Coturnix japonica: one gene and its partners. The protein of the gene in region 6 interacts with the protein of the main gene of each other region in a pairwise test. Links are inferred from orthologs where the notes say so. Each region holds a gene or a part of one and is shown on either strand. Other genes may lie near its edges.

What was found.
Region 1: the proteins of PRKAB2 (region 6) and STX19 interact in binary tests that used the Homo sapiens proteins (3 or more experiments, as listed by UniProt). The link is inferred for Coturnix japonica from reciprocal best matches to the Homo sapiens genes PRKAB2 and STX19.
Region 2: the proteins of PRKAB2 (region 6) and BANP interact in binary tests that used the Homo sapiens proteins (3 or more experiments, as listed by UniProt). The link is inferred for Coturnix japonica from reciprocal best matches to the Homo sapiens genes PRKAB2 and BANP.
Region 3: the proteins of PRKAB2 (region 6) and RBPMS interact in binary tests that used the Homo sapiens proteins (3 or more experiments, as listed by UniProt). The link is inferred for Coturnix japonica from reciprocal best matches to the Homo sapiens genes PRKAB2 and RBPMS.
Region 4: the proteins of PRKAB2 (region 6) and DAO interact in binary tests that used the Homo sapiens proteins (3 or more experiments, as listed by UniProt). The link is inferred for Coturnix japonica from reciprocal best matches to the Homo sapiens genes PRKAB2 and DAO.
Region 5: the proteins of PRKAB2 (region 6) and CREB3L1 interact in binary tests that used the Homo sapiens proteins (3 or more experiments, as listed by UniProt). The link is inferred for Coturnix japonica from reciprocal best matches to the Homo sapiens genes PRKAB2 and CREB3L1.
Region 7: the proteins of PRKAB2 (region 6) and STX11 interact in binary tests that used the Homo sapiens proteins (3 or more experiments, as listed by UniProt). The link is inferred for Coturnix japonica from reciprocal best matches to the Homo sapiens genes PRKAB2 and STX11.

The regions. Positions count from the first base shown.
Region 1 is NC_029516.1:80,493,052-80,495,654, forward strand, and holds the end of STX19 (syntaxin-19), read right to left. Parts: intron 1,667-2,603; 5' UTR 1,579-1,666; coding exon 703-1,578; 3' UTR 501-702; downstream 1-500. UniProt on the Homo sapiens protein: Plays a role in endosomal trafficking of the epidermal growth factor receptor (EGFR).
Region 2 is NC_029526.1:16,031,529-16,035,692, reverse strand, and holds the start of BANP (protein BANP), read right to left. Parts: upstream 2,801-4,164; 5' UTR 2,687-2,800; intron 1-2,686. UniProt on the Homo sapiens protein: Controls V(D)J recombination during T-cell development by repressing T-cell receptor (TCR) beta enhancer function. Binds to scaffold/matrix attachment region beta (S/MARbeta), an ATC-rich DNA sequence located upstream of the TCR beta enhancer.
Region 3 is NC_029519.1:30,663,444-30,667,711, reverse strand, and holds the start of RBPMS (RNA-binding protein with multiple splicing), read left to right. Parts: upstream 1-1,468; 5' UTR 1,469-2,095; coding exon 2,096-2,347; intron 2,348-2,423; coding exon 2,424-2,462; intron 2,463-2,568; coding exon 2,569-2,631; intron 2,632-3,010; coding exon 3,011-3,161; intron 3,162-3,434; coding exon 3,435-3,565; intron 3,566-3,839; coding exon 3,840-3,902; 3' UTR 3,903-3,909; intron 3,910-4,020; exon of another isoform or gene 4,021-4,124; intron 4,125-4,268.
Region 4 is NC_029530.1:5,746,127-5,750,339, reverse strand, and holds the start of DAO (D-amino-acid oxidase), read right to left. Parts: upstream 2,801-4,213; 5' UTR 2,637-2,800; intron 2,365-2,636; 5' UTR 2,073-2,364; exon of another isoform or gene 2,069-2,072; intron 1,626-2,068; 5' UTR 1,595-1,625; coding exon 1,401-1,594; intron 1,054-1,400; coding exon 939-1,053; intron 770-938; coding exon 693-769; intron 416-692; coding exon 350-415; intron 110-349; coding exon 55-109; intron 1-54. Other genes in the region: SSH1 (protein phosphatase Slingshot homolog 1), read left to right, coding at 3,002-3,067. UniProt on the Homo sapiens protein: Catalyzes the oxidative deamination of D-amino acids with broad substrate specificity. Required to catabolize D-amino acids synthesized endogenously, of gastrointestinal bacterial origin or obtained from the diet, and to use these as nutrients.
Region 5 is NC_029520.1:21,207,819-21,211,924, forward strand, and holds the start of CREB3L1 (cyclic AMP-responsive element-binding protein 3-like protein 1), read right to left. Parts: upstream 2,801-4,106; 5' UTR 2,705-2,800; coding exon 2,597-2,704; intron 1-2,596.
Region 6 is NC_029523.1:4,164,133-4,167,924, forward strand, and holds the end of PRKAB2 (5'-AMP-activated protein kinase subunit beta-2), read right to left. Parts: intron 3,704-3,792; coding exon 3,583-3,703; intron 2,265-3,582; coding exon 2,131-2,264; intron 1,847-2,130; coding exon 1,778-1,846; intron 1,353-1,777; coding exon 1,275-1,352; 3' UTR 501-1,274; downstream 1-500. UniProt on the Homo sapiens protein: Non-catalytic subunit of AMP-activated protein kinase (AMPK), an energy sensor protein kinase that plays a key role in regulating cellular energy metabolism.
Region 7 is NC_029518.1:41,265,492-41,269,667, reverse strand, and holds the start of STX11 (syntaxin-11), read right to left. Parts: upstream 2,801-4,176; 5' UTR 2,437-2,800; intron 1-2,436. UniProt on the Homo sapiens protein: SNARE that acts to regulate protein transport between late endosomes and the trans-Golgi network.

The DNA of each region.
Region 1 (2,603 bases), on a different chromosome or scaffold from region 6:
TGCAACACCGGAGGCCTGGGTTCGAATCCCCCTGTGGCGCAAGTGGTAGAAGTGCCGCTCTGCTACACAGGAGGCTCGAATCCTGGGGGTTGGACTCAATGATCTTTAAGGTCCCTTCCAACCCGCACAAGACTCTGGGACTGTGAAAAGTTTAGGCATTGGTTTCTTGATTGTTACTGAGATTCTCTACTTTATGTGTTACTTTTGTTTGTACTACTTCAAGTTCTTGGGGAAGAAAAAATGAAATTTGAATCAAGTAAATATGAGTATTTGAACAAACAAGAACAACAACAAAAACCCCACAGCAATTAAAATAGTATTTTATAAAAGGTAATTCAACCGGTCTTGTGTATTCTTTCTGAGGCTTACAATAATTCGGATGTTTCACAAAAGCACAGATGGCATGTTGACATTGTTTTTTTGACACTTATTATCTGTGGAAGAACAAGTGAGTGTTATTTGTCTCCTTTTATCTTTTTATTTTTCACATGTTACTGTGGAAGCCATAAAATTTAGGCAAAGGTGAAGATCTCTTGTCAATCTTTGAACTCAATTTGGAAAAGCAGGTGCAGTTTTTCCTCAGTAGATGTGTGGAAGGGGGAAAGAGAAGAAAAATGACGCAATAAGAGAATCCTGGGATTGGTTGATAAGTTCAGTTTACTGCATAGGAGCTGCTGCTACTTACAAAGGTCATTTCCTTTGTCACTTGCAGCATGGACAACACCAGCAGCATATTACTTTGCAAGGGTTTCTTTTTCGATACCTGACTGCAAGTCCAAATTTTTCTTTGGATATTTGGGTGTATTCTTGAGTGTTGTTCATACTAATTTCAATGTTGTTAATCATCTCCCCCTGCTCTTCCACCAGAACTGATATCTGGATGAAAAGTTCCTTCAGGTCTTTGATCTGACTCTCTAGGCTGATCAGTTCTTTGTGTCTCTGTTCAATCTCTGAAAGCTGAGCTTTAGTGATTTTGGCTTCAGTGAGTAGATTTTCATTGAAAATCTCCCATTTTCCTTGTTGAAACATATCGTTGACTTCATCCTCAGATACCTCTTTACCTGCTACCTCAAGCTGACGAACAATAAACCTTCTGCATTTCTCTTGCTTGGCTGTTATAGCTTCATTGTATGAAAGCATGGCATTTAGGTAACACCGGGACAGGAAAGTGTGCTGGGAAGCTAAAATTCTTACTATGGCACGTGATATCCCATATTCACTTTCAGCTTTTTTCACTGTTTTTGACAGTTCATCCAAACCCTTTCGTATATGCTCTGCTTGAATTTTTATTTCTCTTGCTGTGTTAGATTCCTTTTTAAGAACACTGAACCTTCTCATTGAAGATACTAAACTTTTTTGTTGTTGACTGAATTTTTGAACTTCCTCCACCAAATTGTTGATCTCGTTCTGAAGCTTCTGGATTTCATGGAAATGCCTTTCAGTTATAGGTTCCCTTTCATAAATAATGGCCTGCTGTTCAAACTCTTCCTGCTCTTCTTGTACAGGTGGACAGCTATTTTCTCCAGCTGTCTGTAGTTCTTTGGCTCGGAGTTTAAGCTCCTGGAGGCGATCTCTCATGATTCTTGTGCTCAGTTTTTTTCTTTATTCTTTACTTCTCTTGTAACACAGGGACTTAACTCCAGTTTCTTCTTTTTCACTTGTTTCCCTGTAATCAAAGTGTAAAGACAATCCCTGTTAGCAGTGGTCTATAGGCATTAAAAGTAGTTTTGGAACTCAGAGCTACTTCCCTTTGTACACTGGTAAAATTAGCAGGTGTTAGGAGTACAAGGAAGGTGAAGTCAGAACAATCTACCCTTTAACCCATTTTCTGTAAAACTTGATCAAAACCTGAAGTTTTTAGTTTATCTTGAGATGTGCAGAGTTAAGTCTTCCCTTGGCTTTTTTGTTATCTTTTGCATTTCCATAGACAGTAATCCATAGTCCAATCCAGTTTGTATGATAGATTATGGTTTATTATCTAGAACTTGAAATAACTAGGAACGTGGCATGTAGGAAGAATTTCCACTTTGTGAAGGAAGAGATGAGAAACTCAAATTCTTGTTTTATCGTAATTCTTTATTGGATGAAGAAAAATGAATCACTTTAGATCTTTTTGGAAATATAAGTAAATTTTAATATTCAGTGGAAAACAAACACTTTAGCCTTTGAGACAATCTGCCTAAGAGTCAGAATTTTGGCTTGAATATGGTATTTTAAGTTTTTAGTTCAGCTACGTTGAAAAATTTTTCTCCTTTTTTTCTTTGCCTTTCCTTATTTGTGGAGTTAAAGTAATGACAACTAAAGTAGTAAACTACAGCAAGCCAGAATTTGTAGTGAAGTATGAAAATATTAAGTGGAAGTGGATTCAGTGTAATTAACATCAGGTCTTGAAGATTTTATACGCTTCTTCAGATTACTGTCACTTTACATTGCCATTTGTGATCTTAATACAGTCTTTACTAACATTTTCTGTACAACATTAGCATGAGATTTAGTAACATTTCTTATTTAATAGAAAGTGGATTTAGTTATGTCTTCTACCTTAACTGCTGCTGGAGCTTTGCTGGAGGTATTTAAACTCACTCCGAGAATTTTATTAACAG
Region 2 (4,164 bases), on a different chromosome or scaffold from region 6:
ACAAAGTGACTTGGCTACAGCATTTATAGGCTTTGCATATACAGGAAGCACTGCAGGGCCAGCATCAGTGCTCTGCAATGCACACAACCAAGACCTCGCTTCAGTCAGGTATTTACAGACAGCTGGCTCAGGTTTAAAGGAGACTTGAGCAAACACTTCATTTCTTTGTGTTTGGCTTCCCTCAAACAGGAAGTTTATAGAAAAAAAAAAGGGAATAACACAACTTTGTATTTTTCCAACTGAAAGAATCTGATCTAGGGTAGGGGGGAAAAAAGAGCCAACCAACCAACCATGCTGCTACAGGTGCAAAAAAGCACAGCAGCCAACATCAGATCTAGGGCAAAACAAGCCACCTGCTCCATGTCTCTTACCACCTTCAAACACTTAAAACATCCAAGCTCCTGCAACAGACCTCAATGCTGCTTTAGAACCCAGGGATAATATCTGTTCATTCTTACAAATATATATATATATGAAGAGCATCACCTGAAGGAAAACACAGACCCTGTGCTCTTCTGAAATACATTACCAGTATGATCTGAACCTGTTTGCCATCATCCCTCCTTCCTCTAGCAAACAAAAGTGATTGCAGCTTAAGCTTGCACCAGCATATCTAGGTATGCTGGCAGAGCGTAGCAGGTACAGCTGTGTTTGGAAGGAGCGTTTTTCTTCACGGTTCCTATGAATCCACGCCAACACGGCAGAAGACGGGCATTCTGTCTTGGTTTTAAGATACAGATGCATCTGAACGCAACGTATGCTTCCCTCCTGCAGTCACGGCTTCCCCCTTTTCCAGCCATGCTTATACAAACAGGAAATGAGATGAAAAGAATTTGGTCCAGATATCATCAGAAATGACTTTATTTGAGGTCCCAGAAGGTTTGTGTCACGTTTGTGTGCAGTCTAACAAGCAGGAGACAGAACTAAGCACTTGACAGCACCTTTTTCAAGGGCTACAACTGCAAGGAAACAAGGGTTTGATGTGACTTTTTAAAGGCATTTTATTTTTTATTGTTACTTGAAGGAGCAGCACTTCACATTGAATGAATACGGGTAAAAAAAGAAAGCAAAAAAACAAAATGACTTCAATAGATAAGAACTAAAGACCAAGTCCCAAACTAAAGCAAAGAGCCGTACAGCTTTAAACCTGCTCTATATTCATGCAGCCACGGCTGGATAATTAAGTCATTAAAGGCAGCTTCTGTTACAGCGTAACAGATGATAAACTAAAACCAAAGAAAAAAAAAAACCTTGCAAAATATTTTCATCTCAAGCAGATGGACTGAGAACGCTTCCAAAATCCCAACGCCATCTTTCAGAACTAAAAAGTCTTCCTTCCCAGCACGTAGTAGTGAAAACTGAACTACTGCCAAGGAGCACTGAATGCACAGAGTCCAGTTTCAGTGCAGCTTAGTTGTTATTCTGCTCTATTCCCATGGACAACCATTCACAGGTGCTCAGACTCTCCCCACCCACATCATATCACAGCCGTGAAACAATGGGTTGAAAACAAGCAGGGCTGATTCGGATGGATGTTAAGCGAGCAGCCAAAACCCTACAGACAAATGGCACGTTTGCTCCTTGACATCAGTCAACAGGGCACTACACCCAAGGTTAAGAAGAAAGAAAAGAAGTATAGTTTTACAATGCTTTAAAAGACTTTGCAAACTGCTCTAATGGAAGCAGTCCACGCTGGATGTGGCTCTGGTGACCCTGCACATAGCAGAGGGGTTGAAACTGGATGATCCTTGCTGTCTTTTTCAGCCCATTCTATGCTAAGCAATCACTGTGCTGCAGTTACACCCCCCTCCCAATTGATTTCCTTGGGCTTTTTGTTTTTCCCCCTGGTGATCTCTAAATATAACCCTATAAATAAACCATCCCCACAGCGGGATAAAAGCGCAGCCTTCACTCCAAGTGCATCACTTCCCACAGTGCAGGACTTAAAATATTCTTGCGGTGCTTGCTTTTTGCATTAGATAAGAACGAAGGGAAGAAGAAAAACATTAAGGGTGAGCTGCCCACCCCCAAACAGAGCAGCAGGGGGTGGAGATGTGAAAAACCTTTCACTGTGCCCAATGACAGAATGAGGGGACTTCAGAGGGGACTTCTTCCCTTCAAGAAGGCTGCAGCCCCCTCTATGTCTGTAGCGATAGGGGGTGGGGGGGCTGCCCTTAAGAAGGCTGCAGTGTCTGTCGCGATAGGGGGTGGGGGGCTGCCCTTAAGAAGGCTGCAGTGTCTGTCGCGATAGGGGGTGGGGGGCTGCCCTAAAGAAGGCTGCAGTCTGTCGCGATAGTGGGGGGCTAAGGGGGCTCCACAGTCCATCCCACGACCCGAAATGGGAATGAGGAGGGACGGCCTCGGTTTAGAGGTGAGCAGAGGGGCTGTACACCCGGCCCATAGAGCAGCACAGAGCAGGCAGGAGGGGAGCGAGGCGAGCAGAACGCAAGGCCCGGCTCCAGAGCCCTTAGGCCGCAGGAGGAGGCCAGGCCTCAGCCTCCCCCCTTCCCTCGCTCCCCGCCTGAAAGCCCGCAGCCCCTCCCCCGTAGCCTCCGCCTCACGGCCCTGCTGCTCGGCCTGACGCTCTAAGGAACGGGAACGCTGCGATAAACGAGGCTCTAGGCCCGGCCTTAAGGCCCCCCGGGAGCTCGGCCCCAGCCGTCCGGCCGCGGGGCGCCGCGGTTACCGTGTGCGGTGCCGAATTCTCGTGGTGTTTGTCGGGCGGCTGCGATAATGGCGTCCTTCCTCGCGAGAGATCTCCGTCTCCTCACTGCGCATGCGCCGCCGCGCTGCGATCTCTCGCCTCCCGCCTGGCTCGAAGGCCCCGCGCATGCGCGCAAAAGACGCGGCCTCGCAACCGCCGCGCCGCTGGGAGAGACTATAATTCCCAGAGGGCAACGCGCAGCACTTGGGCACCGCCCATACTGAGCAGGCCGGGATCTGTAGTACTATCGGCTGGAGCGGTGCATGCTGGGAGTTGTAGTTCGCACACCGCAACGCGTGTAGGCCGCAGTGGCCTATGTGATGTCCCCATCTCAGCCTTATGCATCATTGCAATGATGGGGTAAATGCTCAGCTGAGTCCATGGGTTTATTTAGCCTGTTCTGTCCTTTCACAAGCAGATTAGGAAGTTCAGAGGTTAAACTCCTTACAAACTGACTTTTCCCAATGGATTATGTCATATTTTGCTGCACATTTGCCCTGTATCAGACTTGGAAAACTCAAGCAACCCTGCTAGAAAAGCAATGGTACAGATACATACAGTGCAGCACCTGCTGTGCCACTAAAATCCTTTGCTGTCCAAACCCAAACCCATTAGGATATGGGATATTGGGATGTTAGGATAACAGCCCTCCTGGTTCCTAATCAGTGCATTCCCTCCCATAGATTATTAACTCAGGTTCTGCTGAGGATCCTGCTCCTCATTGTAAAGCTACTCCTCAGCTAAAACAACACATCAACCAATATTCACTTGTGGTCATCAAAGTAATGGTAGGAAACTATGGCAGGATCCAGCTGATGTCTACGACTTTGATCAGAGACATAATAAAAGTAATATAGCAACTTGGCACCTTCTCAGTGCTTAAATCAGGACCAATTTTGACTATTATTTACAGCACAAACCACTTACTGAGGATAAACAGGTGTTTCCTGTGCTTCACAAAATACATCCTCTTTTAGCAAACGAGGTCTTTACTTTATCATGAGGTAAGAGATAGCTCATAAGCCAGCATTAGGAAGAAGCAGATACTCCATTCTGTTCCAGCTTTAACCCACTATATCTTGTTTGAGTGACAAATCAGCTCATATTCCAGCCATCCCCCTCCTCACAAAAATGAATAAGAACATCAGGGTGTCAATACATCATCCTTCTTTTCTTTATTTTATAGAAGAAAATACATTCTGTTGCCCTTCTGGCTTATCCTTCCAAATGAAATAAGCTCAATATTTCCTTGTTGTTTTAATTCCTCACCTTTTCATCCTTATTTTTCAGTCTCTCTTTAGCACTGTACGCTTATGCCAACTTTCCTCTGTCTCATTATGAAAAACCATTTGGTTCCAGGAAATATCTAGCTTATTTTACCTCCGTATCAGCGTTCACTTGCTATTGTTTCCTAAGGAAGTCGCTGGTTTTAGATGGTTTTTTGTGTAGATCAAGAAAGA
Region 3 (4,268 bases), on a different chromosome or scaffold from region 6:
CCACCTCCCCAAAGCAGGGCCAGCCACGCTGCCAGGAGAGCCGCCTGTGTCCCACTGGCTTCCCCACACCAGCCGTTGTCACGCCTTCCGGCCCTGTGTTCCCAGCTGTGTCACACCTCTTGTTCCACGTTCTGTCCCGCATCCCGTGTGCCATGTGCTCACACCGTGCTCCCAGCCTTACGGCCCGCGTCCCCATCGCTGTCCCCAGCCCCGCGTGCTACGTACCCAACCTCGCGTCCCACGTCCCAACTCCAACGTCCTCGTCCCCAGCCGTACGTGCCACGCACCGAACCTCACGTCCCAGACCGCAGCCCTTTGTCCTCCATCCCCACCCCGCGTCCCGTCGCCCCAGCTCCGCGTCCCACCCCCGCTCCCGTCCCCGGCCCCGTCCCACCCCGTGTCCCCACGTCCCTCCCCCAGCGCCGTGTGGCCGCCCGCCCGGCCCCGCCCCGCCCGGCCCCGCTCCCTCCCGCCCGCCGCAGGGCCGCGCCGGAGGCAGCCGCGGGCGGGTGGCGGAGCGGCGGCGGCACCATGAGCAGCGGCGCCGCCGAGCGGGAGGGCCCCGCCGAGCCGGGCCTGCCCGAAGAGGAGGTAGCGGGCCGGGCGGGGGAGGGGGAGCCGCCGAGGGCGGGCCGGGTCCCGGGGCGGGAGCGGTGCGGCCCCCACGCGTGTCCGCGGGGTCCCGTCAGCCTGGGCGTGGGGCTCGGGGCGCGGCGGGAAGCTATGGAAGTTGGTGGGGGGGGAGGCGGAGCGGCCCGGAGCCGGGTGCGCCTCGGCACAAGGGCTGTGGGACGCGGGGCGCTTGGACTCACGCGGGGTGCGGGCACGGCGCCTCGTCCCCCGGAGCGGAGGCGGCGGCACAAGGTCCCGTCGGGCGGCACGGCGGCCGCGCACAGAGCCTGGCCGGGGACGGGAGCCGGGACGGCGGCCCCGCTCGGCTCTCGGCGGCACCGCTCCCGGCACAGCGCGAGGTCGGTGCCGCCGCTGCCCGGCCGCCGCGCCCTCACCCCGAGTGCGCGGGCACGAGGACGGGTCGCGGTCACGCCGCGGGCGGGGGTCGGGGCGGGGGCAGCCGAGCGGCTCACCGCTGGTGGAACATTAAAGCGAGCCCGGGGAAGGTGATCGGATGCCTGGGGAATGAGTCACCGCGCTCCTCCCGACGGTCCCTTCCTGCCCGAGCTGACCGGCGGAGCTCGGCGCTGGGGCGGCGGAGCGTGACCGCGTCCTTGGGGCAGCCGAGGGGCCACGGCGCTGACCCGGTGCCCGTCGCACCGCCCGCGGCCGCCGCTGCTGTGCCGAGCCGCCTCCGGGCCGCTCTCGGGCGGAGCGAGGCCCGCCAGGTCTCCCCGAATGTCCCCGGGGCGAGGAGAAAACCTGCCGGGCGGGGACAGCGCGAAGGGGACGGAGCAGGCACGAGGCTGCGCCCCGGTCTGTCCGTGGGCAGCAGCAGAAACAGAGGGGTGCGGTGGGGTGGGCACGGGGTGGCTCCGGAGCACATTCACCACCCTCGCCTGGTGACAGTCCCGGGCTGTGACGAGGGATGGTGAGGGGTGAAGGCGAGCCGGGGAGAAAGGCTGAGCGCGGCAGGGTGGTGGGGCTGCCATGGGGGGTGTCAGCCCACTGGCGTGGAAGGATCCCTCCGGGAGGGGTCCCCAGCCCCCACAGAGGGGATTCTGCCACTGCCCACCCCGGCCTGCACTGACAGCATCTGCAGGGCCCGGGGAAGGCTCCAGAGCCACAGCCTCTGTCAGGGAGCTGCCCCGCTCCGTGGCAGAGCAGGGGCAGCCTTTCCCCACGGCTCCTTGCTGGGGAGACCGCATCGCAGCTCCTTCCCCAGCCTCTGCTTGTCTCTGGTTTTGGGCAGGGGGGAAAAGCCTAAATGGGATTTCCCCCACCACCCCCCTTCAAGCTCCTGCTGTAATCTGCGCTTCTCTCCCTGCTCACTGAGCACCGCAGCACTGGCCCGACTTGGCCGACCTGCGTTTGAACTTTCAAAGAAAACAAGTCATTACCGAGGAGAAGCCGCATCTCTGTGAGGCCTAATTTCGGAGGGTTTTTTTTCAGGGCCTTTATCTCTCTTATCTGCTGCGCAGCCATGGGGCTAAATTACCCGGAAAGTCAGGCTCGGGCGGGTTTAGCTTTCAGGAACACAGCTCACAGCGGGCACTTCCTTGAGGCCGTGAGCACAGAGCTGTGTGCAGGAGCGTGGCCTGGAGGCCCTGGGGAGCCTCCTGCAGGCCCACAACCAGCTGACGCTCTGCCCCTGCAGGTGAGGACCCTGTTTGTCAGCGGCCTGCCCCTGGACATCAAGCCCCGCGAGCTCTACCTGCTCTTCAGGCCCTTCAAGGTACTGCACCCGCTATGGGGCTCTGAGGGCCTCTGAGGCCAAATGAAACCAATGGTGCTTCTCTTCTCTCCCGCAGGGCTATGAGGGGTCACTTATCAAGCTCACCTCCAAGCAGGTATGGGCTGCACCGTGCCCCCACCTGCCTGGGGGCTGCCCTCACCAACTGCTGGGGATGTGGTGGGGTCTTGGCCCTGACCGCCCTTCGCCTCCTCTCTCCGCAGCCCGTGGGGTTCGTGAGCTTCGACAGCCGCTCAGAAGCTGAGGCCGCCAAGAATGCACTGAACGTGAGTGCTGGGACCCCCTAGGGAACACCAAAAGAGATGGATCCCAGTATCTATTACCCCGTGGAGACCTCCTGGGGAAGCCCGGTTCCTCCCCATCCTTGCATTGAGGCAAAACGCCGCTAATCCCTTGCTGGGAGCGTGGCTGCACGGGATACCGACTACCAAATATGGTGCTGAGCTCGAGGATGTCAGAGGAATGTGAGCCACGGGGCCATGCTCGCTGCCAAGCACATGAGGTCACGGCCACCCCAGCAGCCCGTGGGGATATTGGGACAAAATCCGAGGCTGTTTTAGCCCAAATGGCCTTCTTGAATGGGGGGCAGCACCCTACCACAAGATTCAGCCTAACTGACCTCTGCTGCCCTGTTCCTTTCCACAGGGCATCCGCTTCGACCCTGAGATCCCCCAGACCTTGCGGTTAGAGTTTGCTAAAGCCAACACCAAGATGGCCAAGAGCAAGCTGATGGGCACTCCCAACCCCAGCACGCCCCTCCCCAACACTGTACCTCAGTTCATCGCCAGGGAGCCCTGTGAGTGCTTGCATCCTGACCCTGGTCCGCCCAGTATATGGCCCTGGCAATGCCCCTTTCTTACTGAAGCAGTTGGGGCAGTGATACCTTAGGAGCTGGGTGCAGGGAAGCTTTTGGAGAGGCACGGCAACTGTGGTTGGGTTTGGAAACCAGCTGCTTGTGCTTGGGATGACGCAAGGGCAGGTGACGGTGGCCTGGGCAGAAGTGCAAAGCTTATACCTGCTGTCCACTTTCCCCTTGCTTTTAGGATTAATTTTCCTCCTTTTCCTGCAGATGAGCTCACAGTGCCTGCACTTTACCCCGGCAGCCCTGAAGTGTGGGGGCCGTACCCTCTGTACCCAGCGGAGCTGACGCCTGCTCTACCTCCTCCTGCGTTCACATACCCTGCTTCGCTGCATGCCCAGGTAATGGCACTGGCTCACAGCACTGCAGCCTTTCTGACAGGCAGAGCAAGAGGGAGGGAAAGGAGGGGAGCTCTGGGGCCAGCTGCCCAGAGGAAGAGCAATGGTAAATATTATTGCAGCCTCATACTTCCCCTGTCAAGGCAGCGCTGACAGGCAGCACCTGTGCTCCTCCTGGAGGAATCAGCACTGCAGCCACCGCAGCCCCAGGGTATGGCTGCACTACCCTTTGCTGCAGTTTTCCTTCCTGCTCACCCCCTGCCCCCATGTCTTGCAGATGCGCTGGCTCCCTCCCTCCGAGGCTGGGTCTCAGGGCTGGAAGTCCCGTCAGTTCTGCTGAATGCTGTGTAAGTGCCCCCCGGTGTCCTCCGTGTAGCACACCTGCGGTGCCAGCCAAAACTTGGGTAGGAAGGGGGACGTGCCAGCCCCATCCCTGAGCCCTGCCATGCCACCCACAGGTCTCGGGTGTGTGATGGCGGCCGACGGTCAGTCTTGTGGGTATGAACAGAGCCCCCCGGCGGCTGCTGGGCACGCACGCTCTCTGCAGAACCACAGTGTGCTGGTAAGGAGCGCAGTGCTCGGGCACAGGCTGTCCCCCCATGCTTAATCATCCACAGCGGGGGTGGGAGTTCCAACTGCCCTGTCACCCCACCCCCTCTCTGCCATACAGCTTCCTGCCCTATAGCAACACTGGTCACACTCCTCT
Region 4 (4,213 bases), on a different chromosome or scaffold from region 6:
AGCTGTGCTGCTGATGCCTGACTGCATCCTGGCTCCCCACCATCCCCAGCTCACCTCCTCAAAGGACTCGACCTTCTTGTGGAAGAACTTCACGCCTCTCTGCGTTAGCCTGGAAGAGCAAGTTCATCTGTTACCAGCACATAAAAGCCAATGTACCATTCAAACTAATGCCTGCAATTGATGCACAGGGTAGGTACGGCTTGTTGCTCCTTGTAATAAACATTCACGGTCTTCTCAGCAGTTCTTAAATACTCTCCAGCCATTATTAGCTCATTTCCCTAATGGCCAAGAGCCCTGCTCAGCCCTCCAGGTCAACCAGGGAAAAGCAGCAGCAGGGCTCAGTACTCACCTATTGGTCAGCCAGGGCAAATAGCTCCTGCACTCCAGCATCAGCGCCGTGTTGAACCAGCCGTAGCTGAAAGACATGAGGATAGAAAGTAGTAAAGACCACAACAGCTGCCCAAGGGTGGCTGCACCCTACCCCATGCATGGGCACAGCCAGGGCTTTGTTTTTTCCTATTTACTGCATAGCTGTTTTCTTCCCAAGTTTAAAGGTATGCAGTGAAATGAGAGAGGGAGCTGGAATGGTTTTCATGCATTGTTACTGCTTGCTTTGAGGTGATTCGTGCTTCTTTTAAGGGAAATAACTGTGATGGAGCCCAGAAACTCTCAGAAAAAGGGCCTGGAAGTACCTGTAGCCAGGAAAGAGTTCAAGCTCTTTCGGTGTCAAGTTCCTGAAGCCAAGGACAATGTTCTTCCAAGATGGATCCTGTGAAGGGGAGAAGGTTTGATATCACTCAAATGGCAGTAATCAATTGTGGTATTGCAGGGACAGGAGTGAGAGATGTCCCTGCTGTCCAGCTCCTGCCCAGAAACTCAAACCTGCTCACTGCCCAAAGCTGGGGCCCTTCCTGCCTCCCCTGCACTCAGCTCCTTACCGGTACAGGCTGCTTAAACAGGTTGAATCCAGAAATCAGGAACAGTCCCATTTCCTTTGCTTCCAGTGAATTGAGGTACCCCAGGAGGTGCTCAAAGGTCTCTTTGTTCCACAGCCTGCATGGAAAAAACCCATTAGAAGACACTCCAGGCCTTGACCATCTTTGCAGCCCTCCAAAGGACTCCCTCCAGCAGCTCCCCAGCTCAAGACAGACAGGGAACTCAGAAATGGGCTCCATGCTCCACATATGGCCTCCCCAGGGCAGAGCAGAGGAGAACCTCCCTCACCCTGCTTTCCATTTGTAATACAGCCCAGGGTACCACTGGCCTTCTGAACCATGACGGCACACTGCTGCCTCATGATTAACCAGGACACCCAGGTCACGCTTTGCAGAGCTCCTTTCCAGCAGCTCAACCCTTAATCTGCATAGATATCACAGAATGGCTTGGAAGCTCCAACTCACGTCTCCTGCAGATTGCCGTGGTCACTCAGGTAGGGCTGCCACAGGCCTGCAGCCCCATCGCTGGTGGTGTGGGGTGTGAAGTGGTCTGCATAGACCTCCAGCTGCAGCTGGGGCACCAGTGCTTGGAAGCGGTCATGGATGCACAGGGCGGTGGACAGGCCGATCACTCCAGCCCCAATGACAGCGATGCGCATGGCTCTGGGCTCTGTGTGGTGAGGAAAAGGCCTGGAAGAAGGGCCAGGGTGACAGTGGGCTTCTGCTATCAACTCAACGTGATCCCAGTTTGGCTGCTAGAGCACAGGAGGATTGCACAGGGGCTGAGCTGCGCTGGGGAATCATGGGCACCAGGCTGCCAGACATGGCCTGGGGCAAGCTTATAAATTCTACACCAGTTTTATTTGGATAAGGTGAAGCACAGCACCCCTGCGGCACTGCTCAGCTCACAGCAGGACTGACGCCTGCTTGGGCTGCAGGATGAGTCACAAAGACGATGGGCAGCAGGACAGGGCCGTGCTGCTTCCCATCTGCTGCCGCTCACAGGTCAGAGCCAGCAGAAATCAGGGCTACCTCTGCCAAATGCAGCCCTGAGGACAAGCTGAGGAGGCATCCATCTGCCCCGTGAGCCTTCAGCTGGTCAATAAATAACAGAAACACAACCTTCCACTGACCTACCTGCAGAATTCTCCAGGCACTCTCTGTGGGTTTTGGAGGCTTCAGTAGAGCCCTTAGTGCAGCGTTGCTTGTTTGGAGCCCTGCAGTCCAACTATCAGTGTCCAGGGCTTGCAGACGCACCCTGTGCTGGGCAACGGGGTCAAAGTCTTTGCTCCAGACCCAGGAGGTGGAGTCCCTGGTGCCCTGTGGTCCATCCTCTGGAAGCCCATAGGGTCACTGTGGTCCATGTCAAAGTCCCCAGCAGCAGAAATGCAGTCAGACAGGAGGAAGGCGGGGGCAGGCAGTCACTCTGCTGTAAAAAAAAAGGGGGAAAAAGTTATTCAAAAGCCTAAATTATTAAAGGCTTTACATATAATCAGCAAAGCCTCTTAAACTAATTACCCTACTATTTGCCTGGCTCTTGCTTTTGGCACCGCTGACCCTTCACGCTTCCTTCAGCCTGGTTATAACGTGGTTCCTTGATGCTATACCTAGAAATGGATGCTCTATGGATGCTCTTTCATCCCTTTGGCACCTCCTTGGGACCCTTCAGCCTGGTTATAATGTGGTTCCTTGATGCTATACCTAGAAACGGATGCTCTATGGATGCTCTTTCATCCCCATGGGTTGTCTGGGGCATGTGGATACAGCAACCAACTGGTTTCTCATAGAATCAATGAACCATGGAATGATTTGAGTTAGAAGAGGCCTTAAAACCCACTCAGGTCTACTCAGCCATGGGACACTTCACATACAATCACGGTCCCTCTAGGCCCCGCCCGGCCCAGTCCTGCCCCCCACCTCTCCCCGCCCTTCACCCCTCGCTCCTCCCCTTAGCACGGCGTATGCCGGCGGGGCCCGGTGCTGCGCAGCCGCCGGGCGGGATGGAGGCGGCCGGATCCCTGTAACCACTGTAGTATCCCGGCCTTTATCACCGGATCCACCCCGCCATGGCGCTGGTTACGCTGCAGCGCTCGCCGACCCCCAGCGCCGCCTCCTCGGCCAGCACCAGCGAGGTGAGGCGGGGACGGGTGGGGTGGGCCGGGCCTACGGGTGAGGCCTCAATAGGGCCCGGCTGTCCCGGGGGGGTGAGCCCGGCCCTGCTGTGGGGCGATCTCCTCCCTGTCCTTGGCCCCACAATCCTATTTGTCACCTGTCAGGGCCCGTTGACCCCCCGATTAATGCGCTGGGATGAGCTCCGTGGTTGGGTCTCGGAGGAGCAATGCCCTGATTGAGGAACATGGGGATGGTGTTTGTGCCCTGTGTTGGGTTCGGGATAAAGCAGTGTGGGGTGAAGGAGATGGGGCTCAAAGGAGGAGAACTCATCGCTCACTAATGCTCCTAACAGGAGGTTGTTACCTCTGCTCCCAGGTAACAGCAGTAGGATGGGAGGTGGTGGCCTCAGTTTTCACTAAGGGAGAGTTGGGTTAAATATTGGGAGAACTTGCTCTGAAATAGCAGTGATGCAGCAGTGCAGGCTGCTCAGGGACGTGGTGGTGTCACTGTCCCTGGAGATGCTCAAGGAGCGTGGAGGCTGGATTTGGTGGTATTATAGGCCTTTTTCAGCCTTTATGATTCTATGCAAGTCTGACAACCATCCCACCACCCCAGATTGCCACCAGCAGGTGGGTTTAACTGGGAGGGAAAGTCCAGGTGGGCTGCTCACTCTTGGCCCTTGCATACATGGGTCAGGCTTCATGCCATGCAGCTCACTGCCCACCAGTGTTTCTTGGTGGGGTACCCATGCAGCCCCCATTACCCACCAAACTCTCCTCCTTTAGTGGCTCTTGGAGGAGTCCCTTCTCCCATGTGAATGCTCCCTCCTGGCATACAGCTCTGCAGAGCCACAGAATTCAACCTGGTAGCTGATTTCCAAAGGAAATCCCTCCAAAAAATGCCTCATTTCTTCCCCTTCTCCCAAGGATGGATGTGCAGGCTCTGCAGGGCTTTTAGCCTATGGTGATTAATTACCAGAAGATATATCACTTTAAAATGGAAAATGATGACCAAATGTTCTTGCTAATTGTGAGTAAGCTGCTGTGGCCTCTCCTAACTCCTCAGCCTGAAGGAATGTAGGAAATGGATGCTGCTGCCTGCACGAGACTCGCTGTTGTAACACGCTGTAAATCCATAGGGGTGATCCATCAGAGCAGTGATTGTAG
Region 5 (4,106 bases), on a different chromosome or scaffold from region 6:
TTGTCCAGACCTGTCTTAGAAACCTCCAGGGCTGGAGATTCCACCACACCTCTGGGCAGCCTCATCCTCTCCTGTGTCCTCACAGTGATAAATTGTTTCCTTATACTCAGTCTAAACCTTCCCTGTTCTGATTTACGAGCGCTGCCATGCACTTATGTAAAGAGCCTGGCTCCACCTTCTCAGCAAGCTCCTCACAGGGCCAGCAGGCTGCTGCTGGGTCCCACTGTGCCTGAGCTCCCATCTGTCCATACTGTTATGCTCCTGCTGAAGCTAGCAGCCCCCTATGCACTCTGCTGGCCCAGGGCTGCCCAGTACCCCCAGCACTTCTTTCCTCCTCTCAGCCTGTGAATGCCAGCCTGTCCCAGTGCAGGAGCTGGTCCATCCCAGGAGCAGCAGTCAGTATTGCTTTGCTGCATGTCCCAAAGCTCCTGCTGAGCCATCCCTACAACCTGCCTGGCTTCCTCTGAATGCCAGCCCCCTTAGGTCAGACTTTGTTCTCTGTTTCAAGCACACAGAAATCTTTGAGGTACAGAGGTTCACATGTACGGAGGTACTGTCCTAACTCCTTCCTTACTTCCATCCTTACTACAGTCATGATTTCAAATGAACAACACAGAGAACCATTTCTAAAGAAAGGAGGTGACTTATTAGGAGAGAGAGGGCTCAACAGAGGTGAGTGGTTCAGGGCCATATAATCCATGTACCAAGGAGCACAACCTCTGCACTGAGCATCACTCGTCCTTTCTTTCTGCTTCTGTTCTGAACAGAAGGAATCACCCCCAGAACCAGCCTCATACAGGCATTTTATGGCCAAAATTCCTGGCTCTTCTAAGAAAAATACTTGCTGAACAATATCTGGAAGATTTGCCCATCTATGAAGCAAAGGCACTGGCAACTCTGTGAGCTATTGTGCACGGTGATGCTCTGCACAGCTCTGTGTGAAAACAACTCAGCACATCTCTGGATCCTGGGAAGTTTGCTGCACTTAACAGGAGAATGTCAGTGTATTCATCCTTCCCGTGTTGTCATGCAGCAGAGGAACAAGGAAGCTGATGCACTATGTTCTGGTGCACGTATCAGCTACAGATTCAGTAGGTGGGAAGCAGCTAAGGAATCTCCCCTGCTTATCTGGGAAGGGAAGGGAAGGTGTCTGCTGGACACTCACACTGCAGCAGAAGTCAGCGGTGCTGGCAGCAGGTGAGAGATCCACACAGCGTTCCTTTTTCTAACTGTGAGCTGAGGACAGCAACAGCAGAGCTGCCACAACTGGCTGCTCCTGCCCGTGGTCACTGCACACGGTAAGCACACTGTCCTGGCAGGTGGCACCAGATGGCACTCTTACAAAAGGCTTCTTTTTCTCATGCTCTGTTTGCAGGCACAAGTTGTGTTTGAACTACAAGGAGGGACCGTCTACACGGGTGAGGGTTTTCCTGCCTTCTGCTTGCAGTCTGTGTTGCACAGAGGTCAAAGGACTGGTGCCAAGACAGAGTATTATCACGGAGATAAGAGAATAAGCAGTCCTGGCACAAAGCGCTCCAGGTTCAGCACAGCTGCACCCACGAGGGGTGTACAGTGAATAGGGGAAGCACGAAGCTCTGACCTGCTTGGAGCAGACAGGGCCTTGCACAGCTCCACTGCTGCCACTCCCAGGCACGGCACTGCCTTGCAGTAGGAGCTGGTGAGGCCCCTGGGAGACGAGGCCGCCTGCGTAATCTCTTTCCCAGACCCAATGCATCTCCACACCCCGAGTGTGCTGCACTTCACATCTATGCAAATTCTGCATCTCTACTTTCGTCTCCACGTCGGAGGCAGAGCAAAAGGCTTTGGCTATCTTATGTGCAGCAGAGAAGAAGCGGAGTTAGCCAAGGGCTACAGCCCTCCCCTCCCTGCCCCCTGCAGCGGTGCTGTGGTGCTGGCATCCCTTATCGGGATGTCCTCAGGGATGCTCAGATCTGTACAGGAACAAGGGAGGATGCTCCCCATCTCACCGGACCACCCGAGCACTGGGGCTCTTCCTCTCCTCCCCCAGGGCAGAGGGGCAGCAGATTTGCAGCAAGAGCTCACCGGGACGGCACAGCTCCCGTAGCCCAGGCAGGGCAGCGAGGGAGGGAGCTGTTGGGTTTGGAGCTCGCAGGGCTCCTCGGGAGGCCAGGCAGCTTCCTTAGAGGTGAACAATGCCCCTCTGGTTCCTTGGGACTGGCAGCAGCTCTTCCTCCTAAGTAACTCTTCCTCTCGCCCTGCACTCTAAAGCAAACCATCCCAGCCCTATCGCCGGACGGGGACGCCTTGTCTCTCCGACGCTGCTCTGCCCAAGAAGTGGGAAACAGACGGGAGGGGGGACCCCATGTCCCGCTGCCCGGTAGTGGGGGCTCACAGCCCCGCGTCCCGTGGTCCCGCCGTGCTCCAGCGCTGCTCGAGCGGAGCCCCCCCGGCCGCGCTCCCACCGCCCCGCCCCGCACGCTTCTTCCCGGGGCCTGAGCGCGCCGCCAGGGCAAATAAGGCGGAAAAAAAAGCAAGGCGAACGAGAGCCGCGGGCTGGCAGCGGGAGATCGGGACGGGCATCCCGGGCTGGCCGCCGCCGGGCAGCGCCCCTTACCACATTGCTGAGGAAATCCGCCTCGCTGAAGTCGCCCAGGTCGAGGAAGCCGGGGCCGGCGGCGGGGAAGAGCCGCTCGGCGGCGAAGGGCTCCAGGATACTGTCCATGGTGCCCGCGGCTCGGGGCTCCGCCGCTCCCCGGCCGGGCTCACAGCGGCGGCACGGTCCCGCCGCCCAAGGGCCGGCGGCAGCGGTCCATGGATGGGGCGGCGGGGCCGGGTGGGAGCGGGCCGCCCGCGGGCGGGGGAGCGCCGGGGAGCGCCGCGCCGGTGCCCGCTCGGGGCAGCTGTCAGTGCCCCGCTGCGATGGGGCCGGGCGGGCAGCGCCGGCGGCCGGTAGCGGCACGCCCCCGCCCCGTGCTGGGGAACCGCGGGCGGGACTTGGCGGGCCCACACCCCTTAAGGCAACGCGGAGGCGGAGGGCAGCGCTCTCCTTCCTTCGGGCCGGGCAGACCCGCACAGAGGGGTCCGAGAGTCTCATGGCTGCGCGGTGCGGTGAGGTGCGGTGAGGTGCCCCAGGTGGGTTCGGCTGTGCCGGCCGCTCAGTAACTAAGGAGCTGGGCACCATTAAGGAGCTTTGGGAAGATTATGTGGCTTAGGATAAATGGGATTATGGATCCCCATCCTCCCTGATCCTTACTCCAGCCAATACTCAGGAAAACCACTTAGAATGATCGTGCAGAAGCCTCGATGTTTTGTTGATCTTCCCCTGCTTCTGTGGCTCCACATAATGGGTCCCACTGCTTCTTGGCTGTGGGTGTGTGGAAGAAGTCAGGCAGCTGTGCTGTAATGCTGGTAGAGACCCATTGGGAAATGTCTCAGTGCAGACATGCAGGCACGGCCAGGACCCTGTGTTCCCCACACACGGCTGTCACAGGCTCTGTGTCCCCATGCATCTGAGCACAGCCCTGAGCACACCTTGGCTGCTCCTCGTAGTGTTGGCCACATGCTGCTCCTGCACACAAAGGGCTTTATGCCCATGCACACAATGGGTTCTTTCAGTTGCATTTACTTTTACCTTATGTTTCAGTCAAGTGTGAAGAGCCTCTGGGTGAAAGGGGTCGAAGACATAAATTCAGCCAGGATGGGGCTGTACTGCTCTTCCCATAATACATATTCTTATGTATATGAGGAGGAATGATGTTTGGAAACCATCTACACAGAATGGACCCTCTCCCACGAGGGCCGTTTTCTGCAATCATTCTGGCTTTGAGGGCGATGCTCCCACCTCCTGTCCTGAACTAAACATGGGTATCACCTCTGTCACCACTGTTTCTCAACTGAGCAAACATGGGAAGGCTCTCTTCAAATGACAGAGGGATCAGGCTGCTGTGGTCTAAGGAGAAGATGTACCAGCATCTCTGGGGCATTCAGGCAGCTGCAGGATGACCACTATTATCTCTCTTGCCTATAGGTGGGTCTGATTCAGAGGCAGCCCCATGATGTGGCACCATGCAGTGACTCAGGCTCCTTTCAGCCCCATTGCCTCTGATTTTATACTTAGATTTAGT
Region 6 (3,792 bases):
TGTGCCCTTCACCTGCCTTTGCTTGGCATCGCAGCAGCTGGCTTGGGCTTTGCCTGCCCCATGCTTCACTGCTTGCCCCCTTCCACCCACTGTGCTCAGAGCAGGGTGTCACAGCCCTCCAAGCCGAGCACTTCTTGCCCCGGAACTCAGTCTTGTGTGTAACCTTGCTGCATAACCGCTCCTGCTCATGGATGTATGTATATATATAGAGAGAGAGGTATAGATATTGGAGCTGTGTTTCAGGGTCCTCTCTGGGCATGTCAAGGCCCCAGCATGGGAGGAAAATGTAAGGAATGACACTCTTCAGTCTCTTCAGTGGCCTAAGAATCCCCAATAAAGGTTTCCTTTGGGTCCTGGTGTTTGCAGCACACCTGTCCCTGCGGCTGTGCCCCCTCCTGTAGCCACCTCGGGGTCCTGGTGGCTGTCCCAGGGGGTGCACCGTGGCACAATAATGGTCTCACTGTTCCCAAACACCCCTCCAACACCAGGCCAGCAGCACAGAGAACAATAAATACTGTAATAAATAGAGAAAACCCTGTCACATGGCACTGCTACAGCAGCAGATGATGTAGTTGGGGTCCTGGGGTATCTGCCTTGCTTCGCTCTCCCCAGGCCCGCCAGAAGCACCCGATGGTGGTGATGGGGCAGGCGTTCAGTCCTTGATGTTGGTGTCCTGGCAGCAGGTAAGCATGGCGCATCCAGCTCTGCCCACCCTCCTCCTGGCTCAGCACTGAACGTGGTAGAGGCCAAGAGCTCCCCTTGGAGCTGGGGAGCAGAAGGAGCGGGACAGCCCTGCAGCCAGGGCTGAGGAACAGAGGGACAGTGGCAGGCTGAGGCTCCCCAAGCTTCCAAGGACCAACATGGCCTTGGAGGCTCATTACCAGGGCAGCAAAAGGTCACTTTGCTGCTGGCCTGGCTGTGGACGGTGCCAGGACAGCCTCAGGGCCATCACAGTCTAGAGCAGAGGAGCAGTGAAGCCCTTTCTGTGTCAGGAGCGAGGAAAAGCTGTTCCGTGAGCAGCAAAGCAGCCCCAGAGACTCACTGAAGCCAAAGGGGAGCTGCAGGTGGGCGGAAACCAAGGGTTAAATCAAACCACACCAGTATAATGGGACAGCAGGACGGCCCCAGCAGGCCTGGGCTCAGCACTGGGGGTTGCAGCCCCCCCCAGGTTAGAGGCTGGATCCAGCAGCCAGTCCTCACACAGTCCTGTGGCCCAGCGTGTGCAGACAAAGTGGCATTTCGTGTCCTGCGTGGGGGGTGGGCGAGGCCCCGGCTCAGATAGGTTTGTACAGCAGCGTGGTGACGTACTTCTTCTTGTAGCGGTGTGTGGCACTGAGCACCATCACGCCATCCTGTGAGAGGCAAAGCATCAGCTGCAGTGGGTGGGGAGCTCAGTGCCATAGGGCACCCCCAGGCAGCTGGGAGGAAGAGGCCCCTGCCGCTCTATAGGCCTGGGGGGGGCTGGCCCAGCCACCAAGAACCACCCACCCACCCAAGACAAAGAGCCAAGGAACGGAGCTGGCTTATGACAGGAGAGCACGGGGCTGCCCAGCTCCACCAGGCTGTGAGGAGGCAGCTACAGGGAACTGGGAGCTGTACGGACATCACCACCACCTACACCCCAGCGCATGCCACGTTTAACCAGGCAGCCAAGCAATCCCCAGGTGAGTCCTTGGACCTCTGTGCCACCATCACCACCCCAGGGCCGTCCACATTCTATGAGCTCTGGGAGTCACTCCCCTTCCCCCAGCCCGTGGCCGCTGGGGCCTCCCCTTACCTTGATGGAGAGTGCGTAGAGGTGATTGAGCATGACGTGGTTGGGTTCGGGCAGCAGGGCCGGGTCACACTAGGACAAGAGAAGCGTCAGAGGAGAATAGCAGAACCCTGACCCCCAGCATGAGAAGCAAGGAGCTGCCATCTCAGACAATCTGAGCTGCTGGGTGGCTGTTCAGAACATGAACAGAGCTCGGCTCAGCACAAGGCAGAGTGGTCACTGAGAAAAATCAATGCTCTTCTCAACAAAGAGCAAGGGCCAGGCACCAGCTAAGGGCTGAGCAGGCTTCTTGCAGACAGGAATCCCCTTCTGGCCTCTATGTTGCTCTCTGTATGCAGCTGTGTGCTGGTACCCACCGAGATATTGGTGTCCTTGTTGAGGATGACCTGGAGGAGGTGAGGCGGGAGGATGGGAGGGGATTTGAAGCGTTCCTCAGGCCGGTACACATACATCTCTTGGCCGTAAGGTCCAGGTGGTGAACTTGATAAGTCTAAAGGGAAGAGGCATAAGGTGGCTCGATCACTGATCAGCTCCTAGGATGCTGAGAAGAACCCAGCAGGGTCTTTCAGGCATTGAAGTGTTTCATGAGCCCAGTCTGCGACTGGTACTGAGAAGGCTGGGATCAGCCTGTAGTGGGGCAGCTGTACAGGCTCAGCATATTTAGAAACCACAGCATCTAGGGAATAGAAGGTGACTTGTTCTGTTTCAGAGGGGTCTTCAGACCTCAGTTTCCCCTTAGCCACGTATCATATAGCAACAGATCAGACTTTCCTCAGCAGAACAAGCAGCCAGGCAAGCTGTGGGTGTATCCAAGCACGCCTGTAAGGTGGCACATGCACCGACACAACACAGGCACCCTGTGGAATCCACCCCAGGACCCCTGCACACAACTCTCAGCACTGCTGGGTCCCCCTCCCTGTTCCAAGCAGCACCCAGCCCCAGAGCAGCACCCGTTGCAGCAGGCGCAGGGGCACAGCAAGCAGTACATCTGCACAACTGCCTGACACAGAGGCTCCAAAAGAGGATACAGAAGCTGTTCAGCCTGTGTGAGGGTCCTCAGGAGCTTGTGGTCACTGTAAGATGGACAGATCGCATCTCCCATCCACATCTGACCTGCTCATTTTGGAACAGCCAGCACCCTGAAGGTTCCACCTCCTTGGAGATGAAGCTTGATGGCTTCTTTCTGGGCTTGGGCAAGGGCCTGGAGCTGAGGCTCTATCTGAGACGGGACTTAAAGCATGGAAGGCAGGCTGTGCTCAGAGCACCCTGGACTGAAACATGACTGAACTACCTGCCAGCACCACTCACCAAGCCAGCACTGCCAGCATCTGTGTGGTAACTCAACCCGCTGCTGTAACACGAGTGGAGAGAGCTTTCTGATGCGCTAGCAATAGTACAAATAGCCTCGGTGTGAAAACCAAGAGCAGCTGCTGAAAATAGCCTGGATCCTGCTCTCACCTGGCTTCTACCCCAGATCAGATGACTTACTCACAGTTGAGCAGACAGAAAGGAGAGATGTGTTCCCAGTGTTCACTGGTCTGACATGGCCATCTCAGCCGCAGGCAGGCACCAGCCCTGCTCTGGGACCATGCTAGCACAGAACAGGTTACACCAGCACAGCCTCCTTGGAGACAATGCCTCAGCTAGGAGCTGCTCAGGCCAGGGACAGGACATGCTGCCAAACATTAATCTCTGTGTGTGTGGGCCCACACCCCTGCTAAGGGGAGCTGTTTGTCCCCAGAGCAGTGAGTCTCAGAGTAGGAAGTGGAAAATAGCACATGCAAAGCTGTAATGCCACAAAAACTCACCCCGACCTGAGGTTTCGGAGCTCTCCAGGGAATCCACTTTTAAAGCGTCGAACACCTCAAAGTCAGACTTCTTGACGTGAATCAGATTGTTAATCGTCCCCATCTGGCTGGTGACCACGGGCTGGAAAGAACTAAGGTAAGAGGCTTCCTACGTTCACCCTCAGTTGAAGTGTACTCATGCTTCCCAGCTTCTCCCAGCCTGAGCTGCCT
Region 7 (4,176 bases), on a different chromosome or scaffold from region 6:
GTGAGTGCTGCAGGTGGATCCTGCTCTGGTGAATCACCTCAACAAGCCTGACACAGGTCTGCCCAGCAGAACAACTGGGTACAGGCTGCACGTAACTACCATTGCTACTACCAGATGGTATTTAGGCACAATTAAGACATTATCCTAACATCTGCGTGGAAATATGAGGTTGCATGTGATTATAAGTCAGAAGCACAGTGTTCTACAAGCATTTGTAAATCAGCACAACTGCTTTTTTTTTTTCTTTTTTGAGTATACATACATTTAGAGCTCATGGTTATACAATCTGATATCAAGCATTCTTATAGGAAAAAAAAATTCCTTTGTGTTTTAACATGAGGGGTCTTATTGGTGTTTGTTCACGTGGACCAGTACAGGAGGCTGAGCTCTGGGTTCTCCTGCAAAACCTACACACCTCTAACAGAACCAAAGATGTTCAGCCAGGAAACAACCATCACACACACATGCAGGCAAAGTCCCAGCCCCAGGACATGCTGACCAGCAGTACAGCAGTCACCACACAGCACCTATGGGTGTTCTCAGGCCTCTTCAAAGTACCAGGGACACTGGTACAGATGTAATTGGGGGTACAGTGCCACCAGTACTCAGGAAATCTCTCCCTAGCTTTTGTTGATACAAGTTAATCAATAATAATCTTACACCATATCAGTTAAGACTTCCCTGTCTACTGCCCAGCAGATAGAGAAGAAGCTGCACACATGATCAGCCTCACAAAGTCAGGTCCCGTGAGACCATGATTAAGTACAGAAACAAGGCCTAAATGAGATGCACTGAGCGCTGTGTGCAGAAGGCTAGATGAGATAGCAGGATGGTGACACAATCAGCAGAAGCTATCAAAACAGCAGAGCAAAAAAGCAGAAGCTGAACCACACACTGCTGGCTCCCCAGAAGCCTCCCTGCCAGCAGTGTAGCATGGCCACAGAGCATGGGCATGGTCAGGGGCAGGCCTGGAGCTGTGCCCCCAGAATGGCTTCTCTGCAAGGCTGCATCAATGTGAAGAGCCGGCACCTGGGGCTGAGGTAAATTTATCAGGTTAAATTAATTTAAAGTTAAAAAGAAAACAAAAACTCACACATTACTTATATAAGCAGTAGCATGGGAAGCACCAGTTGTACCCTGCTTGGTATCAGTAAGGCCTTGGTTGGAATATTGCATCCAGCACCCATTACCAAGCTAGGAAAGCCAGAGGATACTCACCAGTCTCCAAAGGGTTTAGAAAGCAGGAGACTGAAGAAAGAGGAGAGGGACATAAGCTTGTTCTTCACACAAGATCAGGGAGAAATCACAGAATGGTTTGGGTTGGAAGGAACACTAAAGCCCATTCAAGTTCCAATCCCCAGCCATAGGTAGGGCTGCCACCTACCAGGCAGTGGGGCCTTCAGTACCTCAAAGGATGGGGTATAAAGACACCACACTCTAATGCACAGAAGGAGTTCATAAAAAGAAATGGTTATTTATTTCCAGTGTCATCTATCTGACTTATATGCGAGTTACACTGAACAAGCTGTGATGGGATAAAATAGGATCAGTTCTCCACAGGAACACCATGGAGCCCTCTTCCTCAGAGGTCACCAACAGGCTTCACCCTGTTTTCCTTCGGGCTGTTAAAACTTTTGCCTTTCCTTCTGACTAAAGTTGTGCTCCTCTAGTAGTCTCACCACTCCCATAGAAAAAAGCTTAAACAACAAGAACAGGAAGGCAGCGTCCTCCAAATTGCATTCTCGTCTTAACAAGCCACGCATTTCCATTTGGATCCCTAACAGCTTAAAACAAAACAAAAGGTTCCAAAAACACCACCTGAAGCAGAGAAACAAGAAGCAACAAGAAGCACCACTGAGTGCTGCAGGCCAGCGATACTCTCCCAGTCATTTCCTTCCCCAGTACTGCTATCTCAGACACACACATCACTAACGCTCCTCAGCAGGACAAGAGACTAATGTCAGTTTAATAGGAAGCCATCAAAGAGCACTAGCTCCTGCCTTGCTCACAGACCTGGCCACAGGGATGCCCAAGGAAAAGGGGAATAGCACAAGCTGTTACCTCTCGCTATGAAGCCAAGCACCTTCAGCCCGCACGGCAGCACCACGAGGCAGGAGCACGGGCGAAGCAGGCTGCAGCGCTGAGACAAGACCAGGAGGTACGTTTAGAGAACGCTCTCGTTTCAGCGATGTCCTCTACCCCTTACAGGCAACCACAACCACAGATGGAACCAAACACCTCCGGTCTCCAACCCGCTCTCTGCTGCCGAGCTCACACTTCACTCTCGACTCGCACGGGGCCGTTTCCTTTACTCCCAGGCAAAGCCAAACTGCAGAGCGCTCCTCACACCCCACGGGCCCGATGCTGAGCGAGACACCGACGGCAACACCGAGAACCCAGCGCGGAAAGCACCGTCCCACCCCGCGCAGCACTCACCTCCAGCCCAAACGTGCTTCCCTTCGAGCCGCACTCACTGTCGTTCAGTCCGCGCCGTCGAGGCCAGTACCGGTCCTATTGGAACACCCCGCCCCGTGTCTCGACTCACCGCCCATTGATTTGCATGGCAGCGCCCGCCCCGCCCATCGGGGGGCGGATTTGTACGGGAAGTGTGGGCGAACGCGGGGCGGCTCTGCTTGGCAGTCAGCACCGTGGGCACCGGCAGCCGCTTCTTGTTGTCTTCGGATGTGGGCGTGGAAATACCGGGCTGGACTGGCTACTACACAGCTCAAAGTCCCGCTTCCATTCAGCGTGTGAAAGGAGATGGGCTGCGCTTAGAGGGCTGCACTGAGCCCATTCTTGGGTGTTGACTTGATGATGATAGCAAATAATGGCTGGAAGATCATCTATGCTTTCCAAAGCCGTTCTCAGTTCCCTTGATGCCCCCAAACCTCTTTCACACTGCATCTGCGCACTCCTACCATGTATTTTGTCTGTTGCAAAGGCATGCAGGGCTTCCCATCTCTCTTGTTTCCTATGCTGCTGTTATTTCAGCAAAAACACCTCAGCAGCAGGTAAATACTTGAGGTTTTATGGTTAATAACCAGTTTAAATTGTGTCTGACAGAGTAGCTGTGTCTGCCTGAGGGAAAAGGCAAAACACCCCATAGTGCACTCCTTGCTTCTTTCTGTGCGGAGTCTTTGGCCTCTGGGGTGGTGTTAATTCATACAGGCGGAGCTGAAAATGAAGCTTCATGTTACTGTAACTGTGTGGGTAAAGAATGTTTAGAATCACAGAATCATTAAGGCTGGAAAAGACCCTTAAGATCATCAGCTCAGCTGTCAGCCCATCCATACCACTGATCATATCCGTCAGTGCCACATCCACACGGTACTTCAACACCTCCATGAACAGTGACTCCACCACCTTCCTGGGCAGCTGCCTCACTACTCTTTCTAAGAAGAAATTGTTCCTTACATCCAACCTGAACCTCCCATGGTGCAATTTAAGGCCATGACAGAACAGCAATGGCAAATGAACCAGGTATGCCATATGTAAAGATTGTCTGTGTCATGAGATGGGAAACTTTTAATGCTCATTTCTTAGGAATGTTATTATTATGAGCACTTGTTATGCTCATTTCTGTCAGTTTTGAAATAATGAAAGTGATTAGACAAAGTGATTTACCCATAAGTGAGACTGAGTGTTTTCAGCCCTGTCAACTTATTCAAGTCCTGAGAAGCATTATTTGCAAAGCTACAAAAGTAACAAAGTAGGGTGTTTTTTTTTCCCACTTTATACCATCTCTCATTAGATGAGAGACATTCTGTGAAAGTTGTGTGAAAGGAAATACTCTGTTCACATTGCTAAAGGCAGATCTTACTGCTGTAGTGATACCCATGAGTTAAGAGTTTCCAAGATTAGTGCAGGAAGGCTGAGGCTGATGCTAGGAAATCCTCTCATTATATGCCTTCACTGGGGAGTCTCCAGCTGCAACACTCCCACCTCGAGCAATGCCTTTCAGAGACCTTGCAGCCTCTGGCAAAAGCAGGGGCCTTCACAGAACAGCTTCTTCACTAAACGTCAGTGATGCAACAAGATCCTGCTCACTTGCATGAGGAATGGGCTGCTCACAAGAATTCAGAAGTCAAGGCTCTCGCCAGCTAGCTAAATCCAGCTTAATTCTTTGCTGAAGATCATGGTGTTGTTTGGATTTGCAAGGGATAGCAAAGAGCAGCA